Linked DNA regions of Mus musculus. The protein of the gene in region 2 purifies or fractionates together with the protein of the main gene of each other region. This does not show direct contact. Links are inferred from orthologs where the notes say so. Each region holds a gene or a part of one and is shown on either strand. Other genes may lie near its edges.

Region 1 (3,500 bases), on a different chromosome or scaffold from region 2:
TCCGCATGGTGATGGCTCACAGGCTCCAGGCTCCACTCCAGGCGTGGAGGAAGGCCTGCGGCCTGGCTCTGAGAGTTCCCTCAGACTCTCTATCAACACCGCATCACACAAGCAAGCAGCCAAGTTCCCCACAGTTTGCCTCTGGTTCCCCAAGGGTTAAGGGCTCCTGGGATGTTCTGTATGGGTTGTTTGTATTTTAGACAGGATCTCACCTTGCAGCCCTAGCTAGACTTGAACTCACAGAGCTCTATCTGCCTCGGCTTCCCGAGTGCGGGATTAAAGGTGTGCACCACCATGCCTGGCCTCACTAACTGGAGTCTTTATGTATATGTCCTTTACTAGGAACAGGGCCACTCTCCTAGATGGCTCCAGAGAGACCATGGGGACAGGGTGAGATCTGGGGAGCTGACAGGACATGAAGCAGAGCTGCACATCCTGACACACTTCACGGGACTCAGCTGCATTCCTGGGCTCTAGGCCTCCCTCTAGGTTTCCCAGATAAGACCTACTAACGGGGACATCGAGACCCTGGGACATTCTTGTCTCACGGCTCCTCAGCCAGAGCCCTTCTTCTATGCTGTGCTCAGGACCACCTCCCCTTTGCTGAAGTGGGATGATTTCCCTTGGTGGGAAGAAGGCATCTCAGGGACAAACATCATCAGCTGACAAGAGGCTCCCAGTGCCAGGCAGCTCTTTCGACTCTGTTCTCAGACCTTGCTTGACAGGCAACGTAATGGCTGTGAAGCAATCGGACACCTTCTGCAGTCTCAGGGGATTTAGCTAATTGTTCACACATGCAGACGGCTGCTTACAGAATCCTGGAGTGTCTGGTGGCATTATCAACGTTCCTGATTGGATTAGCACAAGCCTTGAGCCAGGAGTCCACCCTAGCTAGGCAAGAGCCTAGAACAGCCATAGAGGGGGAACGGCCTCTGGGAGCCACCAAGCTCTGCTTCACAGGGTCAGGGTCCTATAGTCCTGCACTCGGGGCCTTTCCTTGCCACAGGTCCCATGTCCTACAGAACAGATGTACAAGGTACATCTAACTAAGTAGCTAACTTCCAGGTCACCACTTAAGATGATGCTACCACACAGTCTAACACACACAGGACTGGCATGGCACTTCCTCTGTTTTCCAGGCCTGCTATTCCACAGCTTAAAAAAGAAAGGAAAAAAAAAATCAGCGATCAACTTCAACTCACTTGTCATCTTTCTCATAAATGTTAAGTCCAAGGGCATCGACTCCAAGCCAAAGGTCTGTTCCTTTCTTGTTTTTGATCTCGAAATAGTTGATCCCATACATTTCCAGGTCCTGGGCAATCTTCAGGTATTCTAGCATAGCACTGTCCCTAATGGGAAAGAAAGCACAGGTGTTATAGTTAGCAGCATTCACACCTGAACACACAAGTCTCTGCTTATTCTTGAAATGGAGGCCAGTCATGCAGAGTAGAGCGGGAGGCACGGCATACGGGATGGGCAGGCAGGGCCTGTGTTGTCCTGAGCCCTGTAAATTCATCGGCCCCGTGAGTTCAGGAAGAAGCTACTGATTTGCCCTGGTTTCTAAGGAGACAGGCTTTTCCCCTCTTTTTATTCTCTTGCTAGGGATAACTCAGATTTCCGCATTCACAGAACAATCAGGGTTCCCAAGAAAGAACTCACAAAGACTCCTGGCCCCTGTGGCACACAGTCCCCGAGTCCCTAACTACAAGGAAGTAGTGGGGGCTGTGTACAAGGCCAGAGGCAGGGACTGGGGTCTCCATTTGAGTATTCTAAAGCCCCATGCCTCTCCCTCAAGCTTTGCTGCTCTTCTCAACTGCAGCCCGTGCTTACATTATATATAGTGCATATTACACTAAGATAATGACTTTAATAATCAAGTTAGTTAGAGCTCCTCCACAAGAGACAGAAACCCGGATTCACTGGCAACCAGTGCTACCCTCGGCCAAATGAGTGCTGGCCACTGGACCTTCCACTGAAGGGTGGTTACTGCTAGCTAGCATTTGAGGCTTCAACTGAGTTGTTTCTTTCCCCGGGCAAGAACACCAGGCCTTGTTTAAAACACAAAACTGAAATCTCCCTCTCCCCAAGGCAAGCCCAGTCATCCATCTTGGACTTCACCAAGCATGAAGACCTAACACTGGCTGACCTGACTGGAAGAGCTACCTGCAGTCCCAGAGAAGGCACACTGAAAAGGCAGGCACTCACTTGAGCATCCCTCGGTGTTCCGCGTGCCACACCTGGATCCGGTCCTCCCACTGGTCCCTGCTGAGCTTGTGTTGGTCCATGACTCTGGACATTGGGAAGGAGAGATGCAGGACTGTTGTCACCTTCAAGGGCTGAGATGTGAGCCACGAAGCCACCTCCCACCCCTTCAATCCCTCACTGTTCTTTTGAATAGAACAATCACGGCTTTTTGTTTCTACTTTCCAATTTTCTTTCTTGAGCATAAACCTGAAGATTTAGCCTTTCAAAGAACATATTCCCGCTGGAAGTTGTGAAAAATTATTTTAAATAACCTTTTCTTCCAAAGGGGGTCTCTTTTTGCCACCTTTAGTAAGGACAGATTTTCCAGAGGTCAGGTTACTGTGTACCAGGCAGAGCTAAGCAGGCAAGTCAGAAAGGGACACGGTACCCTGGCTGGGTCACAATTCATCATCAGGGGAGCCTGCTGGCTGAGAACATTCCAAAGTGAGCACTTTGGAAAGTCCCAGCGTCCCAGCCTAAGGGAGCACTTCACCTTGACAGAATCACCTGCTCCCTCTCACATCTCCTGCTCGCTCCCTCCTCCTGAGACAGGGGCTTGTGCTCACCCAGGCCAGCCTCGGCTCACCTCTGGGGGATCAGCCGCTCCGAGCTGAGGTACCCAGACTTGTGCATTTCCTTGTTATAATCTCCGAACTTGGCCTGAACGGCATAGGAGCCCAGGAGCACGGCTGTCTCTGGGGGGCAGTAGATCTCGTCGCTGAGGATCCCGTCCTTGACTTGCAGGAAGAAGAGCTTCTGTGTGATGTCCTGGATGAGTTCCTCGGCCACGTCTTCGGGGTAGAACTTGGCCCGGAATTTAAACTGGACAGGGTTCTCCTTTCGGACCTCCTGTGCGGAGACCTGCCAGACGGGGGACGGTTCTCAGTGCCAACTTCAGGCCATTCCTGAGCACCAGTGACTCAGAGTTGTCATCCCATTATCACTGCTATCATGTGAGACACATGTTATCATGTGAGAATCCCAGGCTTGCTTCAAACTGCTGCATTATGGAGGATGGCCGTGAACTTCTGGCACTCCCTCCTCCACCTCCTGAGTCCCGGGATTATGGGCATGACCCACCATGCCTGGTTTATACGGGGCCCTGTGCGTGCTAGGTAAGCATCCTTCTAACTCAGCCACATTCCCTAGCCCTGAAACTCATCGCTGTAGGGTGTGAGGTGGTCAGTCAGTCCGACGCACTCACACTCTGCTGGAAACCGGCTGGCTTCACCCTCATTTCTTGTGACCACGCTATC
Region 2 (8,603 bases):
AACCTAGTATCAAGGTCCTGTAAGACCCACACTGAGTATTACACATTTTCTGGGCCATTGGAAATGCATTGAAATATCCTTCAGGCAGGAGTCTTACTCAGAGAAGATGCTCATCAACTATAGGTTGAGTTATTGGAGGTTTTGACTATTCCTAAGAGTTCTCAGAACCAAGCAACTCCCTTTTGGAGGGACACACCTGGCAGGGTGTCCAGTAGGGTGGACAGCAGATTGACTCCAAGACTGATTGACCTGGAGGGTGAACTGAAAGAGCTGATGACAGCCAAGCGGGAAGCAGAATGGTGTCCACGGCTATGGGGATGGTAGCTTTGGTTGGTACAGGATTGTGCTGGGCAGAGAAGGGTCTTGTAAATCACAATAGCAGATGTTTACACAGCATGGAAGCTGACTGCTCATCAACTGGTACTACCTACAGCCCATCACTTTCCTCAGGAGAGGAGGCCTGTCTATAGGTGTCTGAAGAGCCAAGAAGCTAGGCAATTCCTGGGAGTCCTAGTCAGAGAGGAGCTGCTGTGGAGAATGCCTGGCTCCTGAGGGCCTTGCAACAGCTCTCCACAGAGGCAGGTTAGGGGGCGTGAGATTGGGAGGATCTGGTTAGACTTGGGACCTAGGAAACACATCATGCACTTTGAGGCCACTCTGAGTTAACCTGCACTGGGAGGAGCCAGAGCAAAGTCCTAGCTGTTGGCAGTAGGCTTGTACACTTGGAACTTAGGGTCTGAGTTCACACACTTAGCTGCCTAGGACAAACTCAGAGCTGTAAGATTAAGTATCTTGGTCCAAAGAGAGCTTCAGAAGCCCTTATTTGATAAACAGCATCGCTGAGAGCATCTAATAAACACTTTAAGGATGAGCTAGGAGACTGGTTGGCTCTGCAGTTTGGAGAAAAGGCTTCACCCTGCTCAGGCCCCGACTGCTGGGGCCAGGAAGAGTTCTGGGTAAGGATTGGATCAACAATTTGGCTGCCTAGTACAAGGAGCTGCTATTATCAGGTTAGTGTCCCACAGAAGGTTGGTTCTGGGGTCCGCCAGTCTTTGGCTCCGATGGATCTAGTAAAAATGGCGGACATGGCCCAATTTATGGTCAGCTGTCAGCAACAAGACAAAAAGGTATCTTTTGGCCCCCTGCAATAAAGGTTCATCACACTATTCACCACTGGTGGACCCCAAGGCAAGATTGGCAGGGCTCCAGCAAAGTAGCCGATTACTACTCGCTACACAACTGGTACACCCACTTTCCTGAACAGCTTCATCAGAGGGTGGTTTTCCAAAGCTAGCATAAGGCTGAAAAGGGAAGTTTTTAGACTGACTCCTGTAAAGGCAGGATGGGGTTTTGAGGTTACTAGGTACCTTTGGTTGTGCTGAAGACAGACAAGTAATCCTGCCTCCCTGTGGTCACTACAGAGAGCTACACAAGAGCCCTGTTAAGGCTTAGTGGCTTTTCAGGGTTCTGCTACAAGCTTCATGGTTCAGTGGTCCTGCCCTTTCTCCCTAGGTTCGTGGGTGCTCTAGAGAGCACAGTACTGGAGATGTGCAGAGGCTCGGTTTCCTGTTCCAACTAGCCTCACTAACAGGCATAGGGAACTCTCTCACCAGGTCGACCTACACATGCAAGTTGTTCAGAGCCAGATCAGTTTGATCTTCCAGCAGGGCTCCATACTGAGGGCAAGTCCCAGCCAGGGGAAATTTAGATATGCTGACTCAGGCAATCCCTCTATGCCCAGGGCCAGCACTGTGACCCATGGGCCTGGGGTTTGTTCTATATTCACATCTCCACAGGAAGCCAGGAGCAAAGACAAAACAGGGCTGTTAGCAGCAGACAACCTTGTAGCCAGGACATCTGATCTGAGGGACATCCACCCTCCACTGGATTCTTACCATTCCCTACAAAACCCCAACACAAGCTGCACAGACCACACAATCCCAGACTCCTTCAGGGGTGTTTATTTCCCAGTCAGAAGAGAAGCAGGGACAGGCTCCTCTGCCTGTTGAGGCTGGGCCTGGCAGACACCACACAGGGACTGGGGATAGGGAGGGGAGGCACAGGAGACAGCTCCCAACTGTGTGAACTTGGTCCCACATTTGTCCTGGCTGGGTCCAGGGAGGGTCGGCCCAGGGATGGTGGCACCAAGAACCAGGGCAGAGGCATCAGGCCAGCTGGCCCAAATGGAGGCAATAAATACTGACAGGCCAGGCACGAGGTTCAGGCCACGTGGCCCAGGTGAGACAAGTAAGGCTCGGCTGGCTTTGTCCCTCAGGGGCTCTCTGTGGGGACAGGGGCTCCGAGTACTGCCTACAAGGGACAGAGAAGGCAGAGGAATGAGGCACCCTACCCTGCCTCCTAGATGGGGCTGGAGGCATCGAGTTTTGGCAATTGACCCTCCCCTAGCTACTGGAGCCACCCCCAACCCTGGCCACGGGGAGGGGAAGAGCTGGCCAGGCTCGCAGGAAGCAACAGCAGCGCACCCCAGGCCTCCCTTGGGTGGGTCACTGGGATGGGGATGGCAGACGAGGCGAGGACAGGGAGAGCACATGCTCATGCAGACAGGGAGTTAAGAGTTAGCGACGGCCCCCAGCACACGTTCCACATGTTAAGGCATCATGGTTAGACAGTGACTGACAGTGATGGATGACCTGGCCAGGGAGTGGTGGGACTAGAGGACAGATAGCCCAGCCCTTCCCCATGCTGCGACAGAGACAAGGTGGGCTGGACAACCCTGACAGTGTTCTGTTCCATTCTAGAAGCCAGGGCCTGAGGAAGGGAAGACAGAGGGAACCTGGAGGGACACAGCAGATTGGAGGCCTGGGCTGGAACCCCTCCCCCACTGCACAGGCAGAAGCAGCAATGTGACACTGGAGACCACAGGGGCCTGCGGGCAGGAGGTGGAGGAGGGGCAGACAGGAGAGCTGACTGCCTGAGTGGACTAGGGAGGAATGACGGGTGAGGGAGGTCCTGTCAGCACTTTGGTTTGGGGTAGGTAGGGGGTTAGGGTGGGGCATGTCGGTCCTTCTGTCTGTCCGTCGCCCTGCCCGTCTCCCAGCTGGAGCTCAGTCCTTCCACTCCTTTTTGATGGTGAGATTCCACTCCCAGGACAGGTGGTCAGTCTTGTCGTCATCTGTGAAGCGCGACTTGATGTTGTAACTGCCCCGAGCAAGCATGCCTTTGGGAGCCTCCTCCATGGGTGTCAGGAACTCATACTCCTCGGCCCTCGGCCCATAGCTCCCGACCATGTAGTCAGTCTTGTCAACTGAGGGACAGGAGAGGCAGGATTACTGGTGCTGCACGCCCCTCCCAGGCCCAATGGCTCCCCACTCTATGGCCCGCCCACTCACTTTTGACCCCTTTCCTGTATGTGTGTTGGATGTACTTCATGCCGGACACGATCTCTCTGTTCACCTGTGGGGACACAGAGCCAGGGTCAGCTGCCTTCCCAGGCTTGCCCCTCTGCCCCTTGTTTCCAGGCCTCTCAAAGCCCCCACCTTACCCGGAAAGAGATTTTTATCCGGTACTCCACACCTTCCTTCAAGACAAACGACTGTTTCTTGAAGCTCTCCAGATCACCTGTATTGAGGAGGAGTCTCCGCTGACTGCTTGCTTGAAGGGCTCTCCACCCTGCTACATTCACTCTCCCCAGCCCCTTCCCTGACACAAAGCAGAGCTTCGGCAAGCCCCTAGCTGCACTTCCCCTCTTCTCCACCAGAGGGCATCAGTGCAGAAAATTATTTTTAGGGGTAGAGGCAAGATGCCAGCTGGCCCCACCCAGGGATTCTAATACCCACTCACCTGTCAGGTCCAGTTCCAGAGGGCCTGGGGCAGTGCTGCATACCAAGGTCAGTCGAGTCACAATGACATTGGGGACGTTGGGGTCTGCAGAGTGAGAGTTAAGAGTCAGAGTCCCATCCCTTAAGATTTTTCTTTTTAAACTCACTCCTTGGAAGAGTGGTCTGGAAAGAGACTGGGCACAGGTTTAGATGACATCCTTCCTCCAAGCCACCTACCTGCAGAGACAGCTACTCGGCCCAGCAGGGCCTCCTTGTACTTTCGGAGGCTTTCATCGTCCTTGTCCAGTTCCTGGATCTCCTGGATGCTCTTCTGGGCTGGAGGCTTGTAGTTCACAGAGTGCTCATCTTCCTCATTCTCTGCAGCTATCTGCGCAAGCTGCTCAGCAGTGGGTTCCTGTTCTGCCATGCTTACCTCTAGCTTGGGACACCTGTGGGCGGGGCATGAGCAGGACTGTGACAGCCTGGAGGCATTCCACCCTAGGCAGACCCTGACACCTGCAGGACACCTGACTGGAACTTTGAGAGGATGCTGCCACTGCCCTACGCAGAGGCCCATTTGAGAGGACTAGAACCCCAAGCAACGAAATGGGACCACAGCCTGTTCCTCAGAGAAGCAAAACACCTTTCCTCCCCACTAAGAATAAGCCTCCAGACCGAACTGAACTGGCAGACGCAACACTAAATCCCTGGGGTCCTGTTGCTGTCCCTAGCTGCCCAGGCTCTCATCTTACTGGGTTGGGTCATGGAGGTAAGTTCTCCGACAGGGAGATGCTCTGTATGTTAGCCACGTGCAGGACAAGGGTCTGTTTGTTCGTCCCTTCCAATGGAATACTGTCCTAAGCTCAACTATGTGATGACCGCTTAAATCCCAAGAGCCCAAAGGGGATCCTAAATACGCAGGTCTGTCCTCTCTAGTGAGGGTCTGCGTATGCAACTTGGGAGCTAGTGCACCGCTTGCAAATAAATCTCAGGAGCCTGTTTCTGGGCCCTGACCCTAAACCTTTAGTGGCGGTGAGGAACCAACCAGGACGGAAGCGCCTAGATGCCTTTCAGTTCCGCAGATTCCCAAACGTCTCTCGGAAACCCACTGTGATGCCTACAGGCAATGCGCAGCGGTCCCGGGAAGAGCCCGGCCGTTGTCCCTCTGAGAGGTGTCCGCCAAGGAAACACATAAAGCGGCGGTCCGAAACCCGGAGGCTACAGACAACCCCACCCGACGCCAAGCGTGGCCGCCGGCGACAGCATCAGGGCGCGGCCCGCACTTCCGTAGAGCCCGCAATCCGAGCGGGGCGGGGCCGCGCGGCGGGAGCCCCGGGCCAGGCCCCGCGCCGGACCCCGCCCGCGAGGCCGAGGAAGGGGGTCCCCTGGTAGCAGGCGCGCAGGCCCGGGGGGCCGCGGCCCCTCCGGCAGGACCTGCGCTGCCGCCCTGGCCCGCCCCGCCCGCCCGCCCGGGTGACCGCGCCCCGCCCGCGAGCGCCGCAGTCGCCCGCGACGCCGCACAAAGCCAACCCACTCCCCTCCCGCACTGCACCGCGCTGCGCCACGCGCCCACTCACCGGAGGCTCGACCGCCGCTCTCGCGCTCCCTCCCGCACCAAATGACGAACGTCGTCCGCCGCCCGCCGCTCGGACGGTCACTTCCGGGGTCACAAGACTTCCGCTCTCGCGGGCGGGGTCGCCTTGCGCATGCGCCGCCAGGGGGCGCGGGTCGGCGCCGTCGCCATTTTGCTGCGGGCCTCGTGGGCGCGTCCCGCGTGGGCCGGCGCCCTCGCGCCTTCTGCCGAATGCCGGGTGCGAGGGTTTGTGGGACACGAGAGCCGGCTCTTCCAGAGCAGCGTCGCGCGGCCATTCTGTGGCTCCCAGGGTTCCCTGATTGCCGTGCCTGGCCCTTGTCCCATTGTCCTCAGAGTCAACAGAACCACAGTCCTCACCGACCGCAGTGCCCTGTAGCTGTGCTGCCTGGCGCATTGCTCTGGGGACTGCGTGCCCCCCGAGCCCCCGTATGTTAGAAGTTGTATGGTTTTGCTGTGAGGAGCGGTTTTCCTTGGAACGGGCTGCCTGCCTATCTTGAACCTCATCCCTGAGACGCGCCCGCCTCTGCCTCCAGGATGCTGAGATTGAAGGCGTGCACCATCACCGCCAGGCGTGTTTCACGACGCTGAGGATGGAGCCTCCTTAGTGGAGGGCCTGGCTGGGGGGGTTCCCGGTCGTGTGCTTGTGCCAGCCACTCCAGTTCCTCCTGAGGAGTCTCAGTTCCTGCTACTCCGTGAGGGCACTCCATGTTGGCTTCTTCTGAGTGTAGCCTCAGACTGAGGGGAGGCAGGAATTTAAGGGGCACTACGGGGACTTCTATAGCTTAATCCCACAAAAGCCATCGCTTCTGGCCTGCTCTGTTGGCCACACCTGCCCCTGTGGTATCCAGGAAACAGCTGTTGGCTCCGGAGAGTCATCAAACTTAAAAGATGAGGAATCCAATGGCCTCCACTCTCCATCTTCAGTTGTGGCCCAGTTATTTTACACAAGCACGCATACCCTCTGGCTATACATCAATCTGAAGCAAACCAAGTGTTCTTTCAAGCTCATTTATTTTTATCTCTAAGGAAGATGGATTTGCAATATCATTACCCTACATCCAGGTAGCTGCTCTTCTATGCAGAACTATTCTAAAACAAAAAGCCACGTGACTATCCCCACTCTTACTGTATGATGAATTTGGCTGGCCTTCCACCTACACACAGGTGTGCCCAACGAAGTGTGTCAAGCTGGCTTTTCAGGAGGCTCATGGTCCTCCAACTGGATGAGCCTGGTTTATTGAGCTCTGTGCCACCCACAATTCCCTGGTTTGACGCTCAAAGTACAAATCTTCCAAAGCTGCGTTTTTATGTTTATGCATATCAATATTTTGAAGTAGTCTCTGAACCACTTGTGTGCAGTACCCATAAAGGTCAGAAGAGGGCATTGCATCCTCTGGAACTGGAGTTAGAACAGTAGTGGGTTCTGTACTGTACTGGGAATCAAACCCAAGATCTCTCTCAAAGAGGAGCCAGTGCTCTATGAACTGCTGAGCCATCTTTTTAGCCTGCCCATGCCCAAAGATTTTTTATACGGTCTAGCTACATACATACAGTGATTCACATTTGAAAAAAATCACAAAGATCATTAAAAGTCCAGTCAGCATTTCCCTGATTTATTTTATATATATATATATATTTTTGTTTTTGAGACAGGGTTTCTCTGTGTAGCCCTGGCTGTCCTGGAACTCACTCTGTAGACCAGGCTGGTCTTGAACTCAGAAATCCGCCTGCCTCTGCCTCTCAAGTGCTGGGATTAAAGGCTTGTGCCACCACTGACTGGCCCTGATTATATTTTATGAATTCTTTAAGTTTGCATAAAATTTTGTAAAATTTGAGTGCTTAAAAAACATTGAGAGGCTGGCGAGATGGCTCAGTGGTTAAGAGCACCGACTGCTCTTCCAAAGGTCCTGAGTTCAAATCCCAGCAACCACATGGTGGCTCATAACCATCCTTAACGAAATCTGATGCCCTCTTCTGGAGTATCTGAGGAAAGCTACAGTGTACTTACATAATCTTTAAAAACAAAAACAAAAACATTGAGCCAGGGGCTGGCAAGATGGCTTAGAAGTTAAGAACACTGACTACTGCTCTTCTAGAGGATGCAGATTCGATTCTCAGCACCCACATGGCGACTCAAACCTGTCTGTGACTCTGGTTCCAGAGCGTCTGACACCTTTACATAGACACATGCAGGCAAAATAACAATGAACATTAAATAAAAATAAATACAATTTACATATGATATATCATAATTGTATAATTAAAACATATTAATATAATAAATAATAAATAAAATTAAAATATATTGAAGCAGGTTGTGGTGGCAGCACACAACTGCTCCCAACACTTGGGAAGCAGACACAGGCAGATCTCTAGGAGCTCTCTAGCTCTATAAGTTTGAAGCCAGCCTGGTCCACTGGCTTACAGAGACAACAAAGGATGCACACAAAAAAAACTTGTCCCTAAAAACAAAGATAGATAGGTAGGTATGTAGGTAGGTACAGGCAGACAGCTGATAGATAGCTGCTCTTGCATAGAACCTGGGTTCAGTTCCCAGCACCCACATGGCTGCTCACAACCATCTGTAACTCCTTTTCAAGCCAAATGCCCTCTTCTGGCCCTGGAGGGCACAGCATTTACACTGTACACTTACATACACACGGAACACACAGAAAAATAAAATCTTTAGCTGGGCAGTAGTGGCACACTCCAGAGGCAGAGGCAGATTTCTGAGTTCAAGACCAGCCTGGTCTCTATAGTTTCTCCAGGACACAGAGAAACCCTATATAGAAAAGCCAAAAATAAAATCCAAAATAAAATCTTTGAAAAACAAAACCAAGGGCTGGAGAGATGACTCAGTGGTAAAGAGCACTGATTGTTCTTCCAGAGGTCCTGAGTTCAATTCCCAGCAATCACATGGTGGCTCACAGCCATCTGTAATGGGATCTGATGCCCTCTTCTGGTGTATTTGAAGAGTGAGAGTATATTCACATGCATTACATAAGTAAATCTTTAAAAAAAAAAGAAAAGAAAAAGAAAAAAGAAAAACAAAACCAAAATAGTGGCTTGCAGGTGTCACACTTTCATACAGCACTTGCAGCCCAGATTTTCAAAACCAAACCAAGCCAAGCTAAACTGTAGACATTGTAATTGGTCTGGGGTTTGCCCTTGTTAGTCCTATAGGATGGCTTACAACTTTTATTAGCATATGTTTGGGAACTGAAAGTTGT
Region 3 (7,929 bases), on a different chromosome or scaffold from region 2:
GCCCCCGAAATGTGGGCGTCATCTCCCCGTACCGGAAGCAGGTCAGGCCCTCAGTCCAAGCCTAGGACTTCCCTCTTTGCCCGCCAGCACCCTGGCCAGCAGCCTGCCTCTGCCTTCCTCTTGTGTGAGGGGGATGGCCTAAGAGAAGGGCACCTATTCCTCCCTCCAGGTAGAAAAAATCCGTTACTGCATCACAAAACTTGACCGAGAACTTCGCGGACTGGATGACATCAAAGATTTGAAGGTAACCTAACTCTCGATCATACTCCCCTTATCTAGGCCTGTGCTATGTCCTGTCCCACCCTGTTTACTCAAAGTGGAACTGGGGTTTCCCCCAGGTGGTTCTGAGGTGGAACCTGGCAGGCTGCCAGTTAACGCATACTGCCTTAATCAGGTGTGTGGCCTCTGCCTAAGGTTAAAGTCCAAACTCCCTTTACCAACCCCTCCTGTTACGTGATAACACCTGTCACATGATATTGCCCCAAGCCTCCTACGTAGTTTAACTGTTCTTGAGGGGTGGCTCAACACTGATTCAGATTAAAGTTTAATAATGCCACTTCTTGGATCCCACCCAGACAATTAACATAGCTGCCCGAGGCAGAGCCAGGGCTCTGGTAGAGTGTTTGTTCTTATTGTTATGGTTTTTAAAAAGATCCACAGGTGAGTGTGATATGTGGAGCCAGGGTTGAAAACCACTGAGTTAGGATTTACTGGCCTCTCCCTCAGAATTTCTGACCAAATTGGTGGCTGCCTCCAGGGATGAGAACTCCCACTCTGTTCCTTTGCAGCACAGTGCCGTTTGCTTTGAACAGTTTCCAGGCCCCCCACCCTATAACTGGCTCTGTCCCACAGACCTTCACAGCAGGCCTTCTGCCCTCTTCCGGGCTCTGCGATTCTCTTACTCATCTCCAAGTACCCAGTGTCTTGTCTGTACCTCCCTGGCAGCTTTGTCCCCTAGAGCAGGTCTGTCACCGTGGTTCCTCCTAGGCCTATCTGATCTTTAAAGCCCTGTGTCTGCACTCTAGGTGGGCTCTGTGGAAGAGTTCCAAGGCCAAGAACGCAGCGTCATCCTCATCTCCACCGTCCGAAGCAGCCAGAGCTTTGTACAGCTGGATCTAGACTTTAACCTCGGTTTCCTTAAGAACCCCAAGGTTGGTAGGCTTGTGGGTGGCGTGAGTCCTTCCATGGGGCCTGTCCCTTTGATGACATCACCGCTTCCTCCATCCAGAGGTTCAATGTTGCTGTGACCCGAGCCAAGGCTTTGCTCATCGTAGTGGGCAACCCCCTCCTCCTAGGCCACGACCCAGACTGGAAAACGTAAGTGTTCCCAGCCCCCATAGTTGCTCTTAGCCACCGTGAGCCCCAGCCTGGGGCAGGTTTGTCCTCGACAAGCACTGGCTTACTTCTCCCTTAGTCCTCAGAGCTGTTGGTGTTAACAATGCCCACCCTGTATTAATAAGTGAGGTGGAGCAACTCTGCCTCAGATGTGACAGTGCCGAGCAGAGGCCGCCAGACTCGGCTCCTTGGCAGTTCCCCATGCATGCCGATGTTCTGAACCCCACAGGTTCCTGGAGTTCTGTAAAGAAAACGGGGGATATACCGGGTGCCCCTTTCCTGCCAAACTGGACCTGCAGCAGGGACAGGACTTGCTCCAAGGTCTGAGCAAACTCAGCCCCTCTACCTCAGGTATGGATGGGCCCTGCTGGGCCAGGGAGGTGAAGTGTGGGAAGCCGGCAGGATAACCAAGGATGTCTCTTTTTTTTCTCCCAGGGCCCCGCCGTCACCAGAATCTCCCCCAGGAGCGGGAGGGTGAAGGGGGCCTGCCCTTACAAGTGGAGCCAGAGTGGAGAAATGAGCTCTGAGGCCACAGCCGCCCGCCTTCTCACACCAGCCAAGCCTTATTGCTGCCTATCCCTGACCCAGAACCCAGCTCTCCTGTCCCTGCAAGAGATGGGAAGGCCGGGAAGTTTACAGCCCAGACCATTCCGCCCCTTCCTCTGCTAGGGAAGACAACCCAAGCTGCTAAAACTCGGAGGAAGGGGGAGGAAGAAAGCTTTTTTTTTTTTTTAAACCCTCTCCTTTGCAGTGCTGGGGATCGAACCCAGAGCCTCAAATATGCTAGGCAAGCACTCTGCCCCTGAGCTGCTTTAAGAAAAACAAAATGCTGTTCTATGCAAAAGCCTCTTGCGTGTGTCTCATCAGCCTGGTCTTGCTTCCTGTGCCCCCAAGATGACCCTCCAGGAGGGTTTCTGCCTAGAGCCACGCCCCTTCATAGCTGCTTAGCGGGGAGGAAACCCGATGGACAGGGAACCAACCCACAGGCATCTATGTTTAGCCAATGGTCCAGACCACTCCCCTCACCCACCCAGGCAGTCTGCCAAACATGACCTCATCCTGTACTAGACTCCACCCTGTCCCCTGCTGCCTCCGCCCCCAGCCCTGCCTCAGCAGACAGGGGCCCAGCCTAGCCAGCAACTTGGAAATGAAGAGGAAAAGATGGGACTCCAGGCTCACAGCCAAGGTAGGCCAGTAAAGACAGGAAGCTGCCACACACGGTGCAACCTTTGACCTTTATTCATGTCCCCACCAAGTTAAGTCAAATAACAAGGCTACTACCCAAAGCAGAAACCCCAGTCCCTACCCTAGACTCCTCCTGTGAGCCAAAAATATATAAAGTGCTGGTGTGTAATATGGGGAAGGCCAGAGGGACTAAGAGCCCCACCCCCTGGACCACCGCTTCTGGAGGAGGAGCCCTGCTCAGGAAAGGCAGGGCACCAGCCCGGTTCCCAGAGGCAGGGAGGAAGGGCCTAGCAGCCCCCACTTGGGGCTGGGAAACTCATGCAGTCCTGGGCAGAAAGGAACCAAAAAAGAAACTGGCAGCATGGAGTCCTACAAGGATGGCGTGGGGGAGGGTAACTGTACCCCTGGGAAGGGAAGGGTGGGAGGGTTGAGGAAGCTTTGGGGAAGTCAGAGAATGGGACAGCCCCTCCGGCGCTTATTCTTCCGGACCTGTAGGCCCGCCCGAGTGGCCATCTCAAATACCTCCCGCACCCCTTCCTTAGTCTTGGCCGAGCACTCGAGGTAGCCAAAGGCACTGATCCTGTTTGCCATGTCCCGGCCTTCCTCAGATCGAACCGGCTCCTGATAAGACAAGATACAGGGTCAAAAGAAGGGGTAACTGAGCATCCTCCAGACTGGCCCTGCAGAATTCCTAGGTCCAGCTACCACGGCCAGTTTCCAGGCTGGGGACATAAGACCCAGGTTGCCATTGCAGAATTCTGTCTGATCCCTCCCCCGCCCAGCCTCACCCCTACGGCACCCATTCCCCCCCTGAACAAGTACCTACTGCCCAACTGACTTCATACTCCGTCTTCTCTAGTCTGGTGGCGCTCAGCCTTCTAGTGCTGCAACCCTCTAATACAGTTCCTCATGTTGTGGGGACACCCCCCCACTATAAAATTATTTTTGTTGCTACCTCATAACTGTAGTTTTGCTACTGTTATGAATCGTGATGTAAATACCTAATATGCAGGATATCTAACATGCAGCCCCAAAGGGGTCATGACCCACAGGCTGAGACTGTTCTCGTCTATACTACATAGCTACCAGAGTACTTTTACTAACAGAGACTGAACCCCCACCTAAAGCCTTAATTAGCCTCCCAAGATAGCCTACCTTCCCCTAAGTAAAACAGTCCACTGGCTAGAGTTATTTAGCAAGTCCTCGAGTACTCACCCCTCTGAGCCTTCTCCCAGCAGTGTATAATGCCCTCCCTCCCCAGGGAACTCTTAACACACAGCCCCCACACCCTCGGGCAAGTCGCTTCTCTGATACTTCAGTTACTTGGGGGCCCTTCTAGTTCTTCCCAGCATTCGGACAGGACAGCAGATGAACGTCACAGTCCCGCTACCACTGGCTATCAGCTGTTTGCATCTCGGCTGGGAAACTTGCCTCACCACCAGCAGCGCAGCCCCACCCACCTGTTTCATCTTGGCCAGCTCTCTCCTGGTATGCTCATCTTGCCTCAGGTCCTTTTTATTCCCCACTAGGATGATGGGCACGTTGGGACAAAAGTGCTTCACCTCTGGGGTCCACTTCTCAGGAATGTTTTCTGCAGAGATATCACCAAAACGTGGATGTACCCACTTCTACTTAGCAACAGAAGCCAGGTCTTCTATAGCAGCCCTGGAGTCTACTGAACAGGCAGTACCTTGCACAGCTCAAAGCCCTTTGCAGTGAACACTCCTCACCCCAAGGGCTACTGTCTCTATAGCAAAGGAGACTTGCAGGACCTACATGCTCCCAAGATTCTTCCAAAGCCTTACCCAAACTGTCAGGGCTGTCAATGGAGAAACACATGAGGATGACGTCAGTGTCCGGGTAGGAGAGAGGCCGCAGGCGATCGTAGTCTTCTTGCCCAGCTGTGTCCCACAGAGCCAGCTCCACCTGACACACAAGGCTATTGAGCAGTTGGCCTGAGGGCCCCAACCCTACCACCCTGAGGCCCTCTGAAATCACTCATCCTATAAGCTAGCTGAACAACATCTTAACTGCTCGCTATGTGCTGGGTTGTATTGATCAGTCACAAAACCAATGATCCACTTCTCTTAAGATCTAAGATGGGTTTGATCTTGGTGTAGTATGAGCTGCCACTGTCAGCAGCATTTAGTTCTTAGGACAACCCTTTGGGAGAAGTCTCACTCTCATTCACATTTTGCAGTAGGGAGAAGTTAAGCCCACAGGCAAAAGGGACTTGGCTCAGATTCCAGAGCCAGTATGTGGTCCAACCAGATAGTGCATCCAGGTTTTCTACAGTTCCAGTTTCACTTCCTAACTTCTGCTGGTTCCAGCAGGGAAATAAAGAAGGAGGTGGGTGGTAAGGAAGGACATCCATGGGCCCCGTGTGACTGGGGGAACAGGCTTCCCAGCCAGGAAAACAAGAAATACATGGCTTTCACCTGCTTGCCATCCACTTCGATGTCGGCTATATAGTTCTCAAAGACGGTAGGCACGTAGACCTCTGGAAACTGATCTTTGCTGAAGACAATGAGGAGGCAGGTCTTCCCACAGGCACCGTCACCCACAATCACCAGCTTCTTTCGGATCGCAGCCATGGCTGAAACTGGCAGGCAGGTGGCAGTGGGGATTTGAGGAGGGGAAAGCCAGTAAATTCAATAACACTTATCTAGCCACCCACCCCCTCAAGCCTGCCTAGAAACCACAGCATCCAGCAAAGGAAGAGAAGAGGGTTCGCCAAGGCCTGTTCTTGCCAAGAACCAATCCTGCAGGCAGAAGACCTTACAACTTCATCTCTCCAGCTGCCTGTTAGGTGGATGGTGGCCTTCCCATTTGAAAACAAAACAAAAAACTCTTTATTGGCCGAGGCACATACACATGTGGTGGTAAAAGACAAGTCAGTCTACCTTTGCATGGGGTCCTGGAATCAAACTCAGGTGACTATGCTTGCTTTGCAAGCACCACGCCCACTGAGCATCTCCCGGGTCCCTCTCGCTGACTCCGGGCCTTCCTGACATAAGCAGGAAACTGAGGCTCAGTGTGGTTTAGACAAAAGTACAGGGACAGCTCTCAAAACAGGACTTTGTGATGCAGTCTGTCTTGCCTACATGGCACTTCACAGGTGAGAGCAGAAGTGGGAGAAGCTAAGCCAGAGGCCAGTGGAAGCAGGCTGGCTTCCCTGACCCACCCCCTTCCCTTCCCCAAAGTCTCAAGTCACACAAAGAAGGCTCAGTCCTGGCAGCTCACGGTCAGGCAGCCTGTTCCGCTGCCTCCCCACCACCACCACCACCCATCCCCTTTTCTGGGCCTGGCAGCAACACTGGGTCACTCAGCCCCTGACAGGGGACAATGACCACACTGTGGGGAGCCACACATCTATCACAGCATTGCTGTGACGGAGCTAAACCCACTCGGGAATCACCTCCACCCACTCTCTGGAACAGCCCCTTCCTCCTTGTGACCAGCTGACCCTTAGGCCCAGCAGACACCTCCCTGTGACTCAAGATAAGGAAGGAGTCAGCTTCTCAGAGTTTATATGTGTCCTACACCCCAGCACACGTGAACGAGCAGTTCAGACCACAGGGAGCTGACCGGGTCAGTGAGGTCTCCAGACCTACACAGCCTGGCAAGGATCATGCCAGACAGAGTAGAGATGAAGCGAAGGCTGTGGGGGAGGGAACCAGAGCCTGGGCTGGGAGGAGCCTCCAAAGAAAGGACTAGTGAGGATCAGTCTAAGCTTTTGACCAGGCAGGGAGCAGTTAAGAAGGGCACAGTAACCTGAGCTCAGCCCCAAACTTGGCTTTGCCTTTCAGTCCCACATCCTGTCTGGCTCTGCTCAACTCTTAGCTCCCTACAAACCACCTCAAACCCTGGCCTGTGCCTGCCTTTTAGGAAGCAGAGTACTCCAGCCCCAGGCTGATTCTTTTCAGCATCAGGCGCCTGGGTGGTTCCTCCCTCCCCTACACCTACACACACACACACACACACACACACACACAAAACTGGGATGTGAGGAAAGAGGACATGAGTCACAGAGAATTTATAGGAGTTGCGTATGCACAGCCACACTTACCACCCCCCATCTCAAGGGGCTTTCCCTGGTACCCCCGAAAGACTGGGAAGAAGGCATTCGCTATGCTGCATATCTCCTTCAAAAATGAGGTCTGAGAGGTATATCCAGGTAACCCACAGGATTTCCTCCAACTTCCCCACCTACTCCCATTAATTCAACCAGTCTAGCTGTACACAGGCTGGCGGGGACAGCCCCAAGCCAGGGTGGGCAGTGTGGATGGAGCGTGATCCCTAGGACACTTAAACACTAGTCACATCCCCATGCGTGAGCCCCGGCTGTCCCACAGCAGCAAGGCGGCTGAGCATCTGATGGTGGGAGGCAGAGGCCGGAACTTCGTGGCTGTGTTAGAGCCTCCAGCTCCGAAGACTTTGCATCTAGGCTCTGCTTAGGCCAGAATAATTGGGGACTCAGGCCAAGCCGGGACATTAGGCCGAAGGCCAACATGGCATGGATGGCCTGGCTAACACTCCCTGTGAAAGGCGGCTCCAGCGGAACTGCCCCACTAACCCTAAGAGAGACAACGAAAACTTCACCCAGGGCCGGGAGAGGGGTCTGGAACTTCTGGGACCTTCCCTAGGACAAGCCACTAGCCTTCCTTATTCTCTTGATTTCCCAGGTGATCCAACAGGCCTTTGTACTCTGCTCCCCCCGAGATCTAGGCGAGGAATCACTCTTCGGGCAACACCTTTTCCTTAACTTTAAAGCCAGAAGTCAAGGAAGAGCTGGACTCCAGCTTTCAGCCCAATTCCCTAACACTCCCTAACTTCCCAAGAGGGTACGAGGAAGAGTTGGGGATTGGGGTGTTTTGTTCTTCCCCACCCCCCTTCACTCTCAGACACATATACACAACACAGGAGCGGGATCTTTCCTAGTCTTCTCAACCTCTCAGCTCAGATCAGCTCCAAAACCCGTCTAGGGCGGCGTCCAGACCCGCCAAGCAGTAGCAGCCTCCAGTGGTCACATCCCATCCCTATTCCCGCCATTCCCCATCCCAGGCCAGAACTCCCACCCCTAGCCAGCCTGAGGCCCTGTTTCTTACTCCCTGCCCGGAACTGGAGCGTCTGGGTTGAGTCGCTCACGGAGATCTAAGTGTGTCCCTGGCCCAGCTAGGGAGGTCCAGAAAGGAAAGACTCAGAAAGGGAAGGACTCTGGGCTCTGGTTCGAGAGCTTGGAAGGCTAGAGCGCCTGGCCCACAGCTTGGGGCGCTCTCTCTTGCCTGGCCCGGAACACCCCCCGCCCCCCAAGCCGCTCCCGGAGCGATCCGGGAATCGGGAAAGTGCTCTCCTCCGAGGTCAGTTCCCACGACGCCTCGCCACCCACCAGCTGGGGCCCCGGTACCT

What was found.
Region 1: the proteins of Arhgdia (region 2) and Ezr purify together in Homo sapiens (co-purification; 3 studies listed by BioGRID and IntAct, with this or other methods). This does not show direct contact. The link is inferred for Mus musculus from reciprocal best matches to the Homo sapiens genes ARHGDIA and EZR.
Region 3: the proteins of Arhgdia (region 2) and Rhoc purify together in Homo sapiens (affinity purification with mass spectrometry; 4 studies listed by BioGRID and IntAct, with this or other methods). This does not show direct contact. The link is inferred for Mus musculus from reciprocal best matches to the Homo sapiens genes ARHGDIA and RHOC.

What each region holds. Positions count from the first base shown.
Region 1 is NC_000083.6:6,751,781-6,755,280, forward strand, and holds part of Ezr (ezrin), read right to left. Parts: intron 3,106-3,500; coding exon 2,831-3,105; intron 2,290-2,830; coding exon 2,206-2,289; intron 1,350-2,205; coding exon 1,203-1,349; intron 1-1,202. UniProt on the Homo sapiens protein: Probably involved in connections of major cytoskeletal structures to the plasma membrane. In epithelial cells, required for the formation of microvilli and membrane ruffles on the apical pole. Along with PLEKHG6, required for normal macropinocytosis.
Region 2 is NC_000077.6:120,576,166-120,584,768, forward strand, and holds Arhgdia (rho GDP-dissociation inhibitor 1), read right to left. Parts: upstream 5,460-8,603; 5' UTR 5,357-5,459; intron 5,083-5,356; exon of another isoform or gene 4,825-5,082; intron 4,229-4,824; 5' UTR 4,207-4,228; coding exon 4,017-4,206; intron 3,886-4,016; coding exon 3,802-3,885; intron 3,580-3,801; coding exon 3,503-3,579; intron 3,415-3,502; coding exon 3,351-3,414; intron 3,266-3,350; coding exon 3,066-3,265; 3' UTR 1,934-3,065; downstream 1-1,933. UniProt on the Homo sapiens protein: Controls Rho proteins homeostasis. Regulates the GDP/GTP exchange reaction of the Rho proteins by inhibiting the dissociation of GDP from them, and the subsequent binding of GTP to them.
Region 3 is NC_000069.6:104,789,082-104,797,010, reverse strand, and holds the end of Rhoc (rho-related GTP-binding protein RhoC), read right to left. Parts: 5' UTR 7,928-7,929; exon of another isoform or gene 7,910-7,927; intron 5,123-7,909; 5' UTR 5,115-5,122; coding exon 4,959-5,114; intron 4,447-4,958; coding exon 4,326-4,446; intron 4,112-4,325; coding exon 3,981-4,111; intron 3,142-3,980; coding exon 2,968-3,141; 3' UTR 2,552-2,967; downstream 1-2,551. Other genes in the region: Mov10 (putative helicase MOV-10), read left to right, coding at 1-41, 170-244, 1,026-1,151, 1,229-1,317, 1,565-1,686, 1,771-1,862. UniProt on the Homo sapiens protein: Regulates a signal transduction pathway linking plasma membrane receptors to the assembly of focal adhesions and actin stress fibers.